2 linked regions of the Oryzias latipes genome follow. The protein of the gene in region 1 binds, or shares a complex with, the protein of each later gene. Links are inferred from orthologs where the notes say so. Each region holds a gene or a part of one and is shown on either strand. Other genes may lie near its edges.

Evidence for each region.
Region 2: MICOS complex subunit mic25a-like (region 1) and c4h19orf70 share a complex: the UniProt entries of both Homo sapiens proteins name them as parts of the mitochondrial contact site and cristae organizing system (MICOS) complex. The link is inferred for Oryzias latipes from reciprocal best matches to the Homo sapiens genes CHCHD6 and MICOS13.

What each region holds. Positions count from the first base shown.
Region 1 is NC_019865.2:2,332,133-2,335,632, reverse strand, and holds part of MICOS complex subunit mic25a-like, read right to left. Parts: intron 2,374-3,500; coding exon 2,238-2,373; intron 1,810-2,237; coding exon of another isoform or gene 1,804-1,809; exon of another isoform or gene 1,589-1,803; intron 1-1,588. UniProt on the Homo sapiens protein: Component of the MICOS complex, a large protein complex of the mitochondrial inner membrane that plays crucial roles in the maintenance of crista junctions, inner membrane architecture, and formation of contact sites to the outer membrane.
Region 2 is NC_019862.2:7,384,538-7,388,628, reverse strand, and holds c4h19orf70 (MICOS complex subunit MIC13), read left to right. Parts: upstream 1-1,291; 5' UTR 1,292-1,414; coding exon 1,415-1,443; intron 1,444-1,785; coding exon 1,786-1,942; intron 1,943-2,109; coding exon 2,110-2,170; intron 2,171-3,008; coding exon 3,009-3,106; 3' UTR 3,107-3,622; downstream 3,623-4,091. UniProt on the Homo sapiens protein: Component of the MICOS complex, a large protein complex of the mitochondrial inner membrane that plays crucial roles in the maintenance of crista junctions, inner membrane architecture, and formation of contact sites to the outer membrane.

The DNA of each region.
Region 1 (3,500 bases):
AATCCTTGTTCAGCAAGCTGATTATCGCACTCTGTATTGTTGTACTCCAAGGATAAGCCTCAGTGCCCCTCAGCAACGCAAAGATGTGAGCTGAGACCCGGGTGAGGCGCAGCGATGCGTTGTTTGGCTGCCTGATCAGCAACTGTACCTTCAAACGCCTTCCCAGCCCGAGCTGTGGAGCCACGGGCTCCCAGCATTCTGTCCTCCGGCTCGCCTTCCTCCTCCTGCTGCACTTTTCTCTCTAACTTTCTGTGAATTTGTAACCAGCGCAGTGATGAACAAAGTGGAGAAACCGGCTTTTTTGGTTGAATAATACAACAGTGAGGCACACTGAGAGTTCTGGGATACTGGGAGGGAAAGGCTGCTTTTTACAGAGTGCATGCATAACTCCTGAATCCTCAGTTGTTCCTCTGTAAAAAACTTTAAGGTTGTGTTTTTTTAACCTCAAGCTGACTGCTTGAACCAAAAATCTTTCTTCTTTTGACTATTGAGGATATAAATCACATATAATGAAAAAATAGAGCATTTTGGTGCTCTATCCAGTATCCAAAAAAAGTATTTTAGTTGATCAAATATTTAGAAATCAAACCAAAGTTCTAAGGCTTCAGATTTATTTTTAATTATGTTTCAACAATTTAGGATTAGTTGACAGTATTGAATTCTGTTATGTTTTAATACTGGTTATGTGCCATTAGATTTAAGTTCATGCTGATTGATAAAAGTTTTGTTCAGTCTGATCGCTTTGATGTTTTCATTCTCCAACACTGGACTGATTTTTCTATGAGGGTTTGAACTTTGAGAGTTTAATCAAGAGAGAAAAAAGTGTAAAAATGTTTGTCTGTCCGAGAAAAATGTATAAAGTGTCTAGTTTTACTGCCTTAAATATCTAAAATAATTGTAAAGAAAATAAAGATGACTTTTTTGCCGATTTTGCTCATCTCGGGTTACTTTTGAAAACAAATATCTGATCGCAAACAAAGATTTTTACAAACTGAACACAAGAGTGATTGACAAGATCCACAGCCAATCAGGAAGCTGCTGTGACGTCATCCTAAGTGATACCTTGTAGTTCCTTGACAGAATTCTCAATCCTCACCACGACGATGAGACACAGCAGCTCATTCCAATGCGGTCAGATGAATGCAGTTAAAAAATGCAATTAAAAAGATATAACGTGATGCACGTTGCTTCCTCCTCTTTTCCCCACAATCCATGTCATAAAAGGTAGAGACCAACGCAGCAGTTAAACTGTTGAGCCTGATGTTTAAAACTGATCAGCAAAACGTAAAGTTTGAATGAACCAACAAACTAACAAAGTGCAGGACTTCCAGAATTTCTTTCTCTAGTTGCTTTGCCTCATAATCCCTGACCAATGAGTGAAGAGATTTTATTGCTGTAGTTTTGTAGGCTGACAAGCCTGACAGCAGTCTGACTACAGTCCAAATGCCTTAAGGTTCAGGACTCGATCCGGACCAGCGGACTAGAACAAACGGTTTTCTCCCGCTTAGAGACTTGTTTTGGATTGAAATCTTTTTTAAGTTCAGGAGAAGCTCTGCAACTCACACAAGAACTTTAGGAAATACCAAGAAACTTTTCCACACATTTATGCAAAACACGACCTTTGCTTTTTCCACCAACCGCCACTGAAAGTACTAAAAAGTGAATTCTTTTTTTTTATGTCGATGCTCTTTGTGTTTTTTCCTGCATCTACGCCACATCTTCTTTTGCTACCTTCTCCTCAATTCCTACAGCTGGCAATACTGATGAACTTTGAAGAGGCTTTGCCACCTTTGTGTCTTTCTCCTAAAGCTTCAGAATTAAACAAACAGAGATGTAGGTTTGGTGAGCATCTGGCTGCATGAAGGAAATCAATTCCAAAAAACTAGAATAACTGGGAAACGTGTTATTTCCATAATTCCATTCAAAAAAATATTCTTTTATTGAAAATAGATCAATAGATCAAACCTCTGTCTTTGCTTTTATGCATAAATGCTGATATCTTCAGTTTCATGAGCTGGAACCCAAATTTACGTAAAAAAATAAATAAAATACAAACTTTAACTTTTTGAAAGGAATTGTGGAAATGAAAACACTTTTCCTTATTATTCTAATCTTTTGTCTTTTTTCTTACAAAGAAAATGACACTAATTTTAACCAATAGTGGAACCATGATTGATACTCTATTTTTTGTTTTTTTATTTTATAAAAAAAGAAACACAGACGGAGAAACCTCTCACCTTTCTTGCAGCGTTTATACATTGCAGGTATTCCTTGGCCAGGTCTGAGCACTTTAGGGTCTGGTCTCTGTTGTCTCTGTAACAAGATAAAATCTGAGCCTGCAGGCCAGAACACACTGGAGCTGTACTGCAAGACCTGCAGGAAACACAGAGAAAAACAAAAATAAAGGTCTACTGAGAACAAATAAAATATTTATCCTCCAACTTCCTTGTTGAAGGTGTCAGATTAAAAACTCAAACACTCATTGAAGGAAAATAAAAGGTAATATTTGTACAGAATTGATCCATTTTAATTCAATGACCAACACTAAACCTATGAGTAAAATACATTAAATGGTCACAGATCCCATAGAAACAATTGAAACCAACATGAAGGTTTAAAGAAAGTCTCTTCAGATTCAAACTCTGCAGATCATTGAGGTCTTTGAGGCTTTAGACCAGATATCCCTGGATTGACCTTTACATCTGGGTTTGAATGTAGCAAATGGCTTTAAACAAAAAAAACGAAAAGAAAGAAACACGTCCTTTGTCTTCTAGTTATTATGTACGGCACTAAACTCTGGAACAAGTTTAAATCTAAGAAAAATTCAGAAAAATTCAGAAATAGGAACGATTTTTTCACAATATGGGGTTGAGGGAACTTAATAACATCCAACACTTTCTGATCAATAAGCAATTTATTTTTGTTTTATTAGGTTTAATAGATTAATATTGATTTCGGGAATTTGGTAAAAGAAATTCTGAAGATAATAAGAATTTCGGACTTGGACTGAAAACGTTTTAAAGACCCGCTTCAATGAAAATCTCATTTTTAAAATCCTCTGGGGACATTTTTACCATAATAGATGTTAAGAAGTATAAAGTATAAAATTCTGTTTTTGACTATTTCTTTATTCAAATTGTTGTGAATTGTGAATGCTTTGAAAATACATCAAAATATGATCACAGACCGACTTTAAGAACTTTAAACAGATGTTAAGAACAAAAAAATGTTTTATAAAACATTGTGAGGCGGCATACTTTGAATTAGCTTTTTCTCACTTACTTTTACCCAATCAATCAGTCTTTGGATTCAATAGATTCAATGTATCGTGTGTAAATAGGTCTACTGATGATTATAATCCATATTTAAAACGGCATGATTTGTCTTTTATTTTTTAATCAACTTATGAATTGATATCTTAAATTGGTTTATATTGACATCGGTTTTTTGTATTGTCCTTTTTCCCCCCTTTTTCTTTCTTTATCGCTTGAAATCGGTTA
Region 2 (4,091 bases), on another chromosome or scaffold:
AACAAATGATGATGATGATCTAAAAAAACATTTATGTTACCCTGAACTGACTGATAACAACTGGTCCTTATATGTGTGATAACACAGAAGTGTACAAAGATCCAACCGCAGTCATGCGGCGTTTATAATTGCCCCATGAAGAGATAGCGGCTCACAGAACCTCCTATAGTATCAGAACACGTTTCAACCTGTGACCCTGAGCTCTGATTGAGCGCTGCTGGAGTTTGTTACAGTTGTTAAGGATGGTGATATTACCAGAGGATAGCATGAAAACTGACTGATCAGCTTTTCTGCATGAAAGCTGCGCTCGCTGAGGTCAGGCCTCTCAGCCACTGAAGCAGATTCTAACCGTTTACCTGGTTTCCACTCCCACTTTTCCCAGAGGGAATAGTAAACCCTCAGCAACATTATTGTGCATAGGTAAATTAATTCAGTGCAGAAATGTTCACAATTTCATCCTATTTATATATGTTTGAGCTGACTATTTAGAGCAAAGGGGAAAAAACCGGAATAGTCAGCTCAATATGCAAGTAAAGACATGAACCTGTGGCCCCATTCGCCAATAAGCAAAGGTAATGTTATCTTTATGATCCTCGTTATGTTGCCATGGCACACAAATCTGTGAATGGTAGATAACTCCAAATTAATGATAGCAACAGGAAACATTCAATGAGTATTAAAAATTAATTAAAATAAGCATACAAAGAAACCCAACTGCGAAAAATGACTGATCATTTCTGCAAAATGCGGTTTTAGGAACACATGCACGCCCCAGAAGGTCCACTAACATCCACCCTGAGCCTCAAACCCTTAAATAATAAGACTGACTAAAAAATGAAACAGATTTCTGCTCACCTGGATCAAAAGTGGGTGAAGTCCACTTGACAGCTAAAAAAACTACACATAAACTGACTATCAAGACTTTAGTAAAAGCCATTTTGGAAAAAGCAGCAACTGGTCTGACTGCTGGGTTTTGTGGAATTGTGCTGATCTGTGGTTATACAACGGCTGCATTTGGCAACACTGCTCTCAGACAAGTTCAGGGAGGTCCCATGGAAAAAAGTACATCTGTTAAACGCCCCATTTCACTGTTTTTCTTGCGATTTGGGCGTGAACTTCACATTAGACACACCCCTTTGAAAAATCATTTTTCATTTTTAGATATAATTTTTAAACATTTTTATTTAAAAAGTATTTACCTGTGATTTAAAAAGTTAAATAAAATAAAGCATTAGAAAGTGAGGCAGAACGAATGTGTTGCTCTGCAGCGGAACTAAGTTTCCAAGATCCAACTTTATTAACACAGCTGTGGTTGACAGGACAAGAATCCGGCTTGTCCTTCAGTGCAGCTGCTAGGTTTGACTTCTTTCAGGTCACAGTCGTGGCTTCGGGATAGTTCGGTTACCCGTGGATCATGGCGACAAAGCTTTTGCCTGTAGTGAAGTTAGTTCATTTTTACTTTACAAATGTTCGGAGAAGTGATGCTAAATGCGGGATTAGCCGACTAGCTAGCTAATCAAACTAGCTAGCAAAGCTAACAAATGTTCTTTGCCTGTTTAGCTAACTCTAATATAAACTATGTGTTCTGTATCTGTATCCACAAAACTGAATGTTAATTTACTCATTTATAATTTACTCATTTGTACTCAGCGCGTCTTGAGAAGTTTCTAAAGTCCTTTAGTTTCTCTGTCAAACCAACGTTTTAAAATGTTTACTTGTGTTATCATCTCTGTCTCAACGATCTTTGATGACCTGCGTTTCATGATGGACTCTGATTACCTGCAGACTCGCGACCAAGGTGGGCATAGCGGGAGGGGCTGTGTATGTGGCCTATGACTCCGGGCTGCTGGGGGGCAGCGAACAAGGTTCTGAGGCCCTACAGAAGGCCAGAGCCGCTGTCCCCCCCGCCATTGAGGAGTGGATGAAGTACTTCGGTCTTCAGGTACAAACAAACTAGGTTTGAGTGAGAGGTCTTTGGGTTTGTTTGGTCTTTGGTGACTTCTCCTGGGGTTAAAGAGGACCGTTATAGATCTGCACATTAATGCATCCCTTAAGTTTCACTGGTCCCATTAACTAATACACAACCTCCTCTTTTTATTTCTCTGTCAGCAGACTCAGCTTCCAACCATCCCTAACGTTGAATTTTCTCCGGTCCAGGCGTGGAACTCTGGTAAGAGCTGACGGACATTTTTGGGTTTTCCTCTATAAGAGAAACAGTTTGTCATTTCACTGCTGAGTTTGTGCCTCTGTGTTTGCAGGGGGTCTACAGATTTGCTCAAGTGAAATTTAAGGATTTTAAAATTTAAGACCCTATATGCACAAAAATAGAAACAGAGAGTTGGGAGTCTGTGGTTTCTTGCTCTACACGTGATTCCATTGCTATGATCCTTGCTATGTAAAGTTTAAATGTCTTTCAGCAAACCGCAGAGTTTGCTTCATAAAGATTTCCACTTATAAGTTTAACCACTACGACTAATCCCTATTTCCAAGACACACACTGCTGAGCACGAGCTAATAAGCTAGCAGAGGTGAAACGATTTACCACCAGTTAATAACCTTATGACACAGCGCATCCCAGAAATGTTCTTTTTTTTTTGGGTGACAGGTCACATCAGTCGATGAGAAATTTAAAACCTGTTCGTAAGAATTTAGCTGAAGAGACTGATGATGGGAAGTGGGGGAAGGCTTACCAAAAGTCCCGCCCACAACTCAAAGGGGAATTTCAAATGAGCTCCTGCAGAAACTGTCCTGGAAAATGACAGGTTTTTAGACTAAAAATGGCAATAAGAACACTGGGAACGCTTTGAAAAGAGATCAACAGATGATCCGAGTGGGACCTTAAGACAATTTAATGCTTTACAAGACTTTATTGTAGTTCAACAAAACATGAGACTTTTTAAGGATCTGCAGCCACCTGGGTTTGTGTGCACGTCTTCAATCAGCTTTCGCCTTCAGTTTTCCTTAAATTTGTCTTGTGAGACCTGAAAACCGTTTCTTTTTAATTGCAGGAGTGCGGTGGACGATTTCCAGACTTTCTGAAGCTCCAACAAAAGCGAGTGAAATGACGACTCAGGGGTTTCAGTTTGTGAAAGACCTCCTCAAGTGAACCCCCCCGGTATCAGTTTTACTTTTGCACTCAACAGCTCACTTTGGAGAGGTTCAGCCTCGTTCCTCCCCAAGTGGAAGGTTATGGTAACACATTACTACTCCTAAATCAGCCCTAGAAAAGCAGTTGTTTATGAAGAGGCATGTAATGAAGACTGAGCTTATTGTAAGGAAATGAAGTATTTAAAGAACCTCTTCTTTGCTGTAAACCAACTCATTTTACCCACCAAGCAAGGTTTTTTCTCAGTCTAAATGTCCAAAAGTTGTAAATATTCTAGTTGACCTTTTCATGCCTTCTTTAGTGTCTCATGTTCAAGTTCTGGTCATGACAATGTCTATAAAAAAAACACCAATCATATGCACAAAAACTTTATTTGTTCCATAACATTGACACGAAACACAGGAAACCAAAGCGTCAGTTGAGCATCCGAACCTCCAGGGCTCCCCAGCTCTGATGTTTAGTGTCTGTTTTAAATCTCGTTATTTCCACATGTAGAAATAAAGTTTCCTAACTTCAGGCACGGTTTCACTGTTTCATGCAACTTTAACGGAGAAATCCAGAACCGAAGAGCTAAAGAACTGCGGTTTCATCACATTAAGTTTGATGAAATCACTTCTGCAAGCAAATATAAGAGTACAAGACGAGAATTCCTGTGGCGGTTACAATAGTCTGTTAGCTGGAAGTCCACATGTTTACTACAGATGTTGTTATGATCATACAGAGAATGTACACACCAGCAGAACTATCTCCTCTTCATTTAAAGCATTTTGCAGTTTTTTAAAACAAAAAAAGTATATTCTAGGAAACGAGTTCCTCCTTTACTTGAATCTGAATATGTAAACGTTACACAATAAAGTGCTCCTCACAACACAACAGTGAGAGAATACAATGGATAAGGATGCATTTCCCATCAAACCAACGGCTGCACAGCTTTCCTGACGGGGTCAGTGTCGCTGTTGAGGGAGGGGGACTAAAGAGCGGCTGT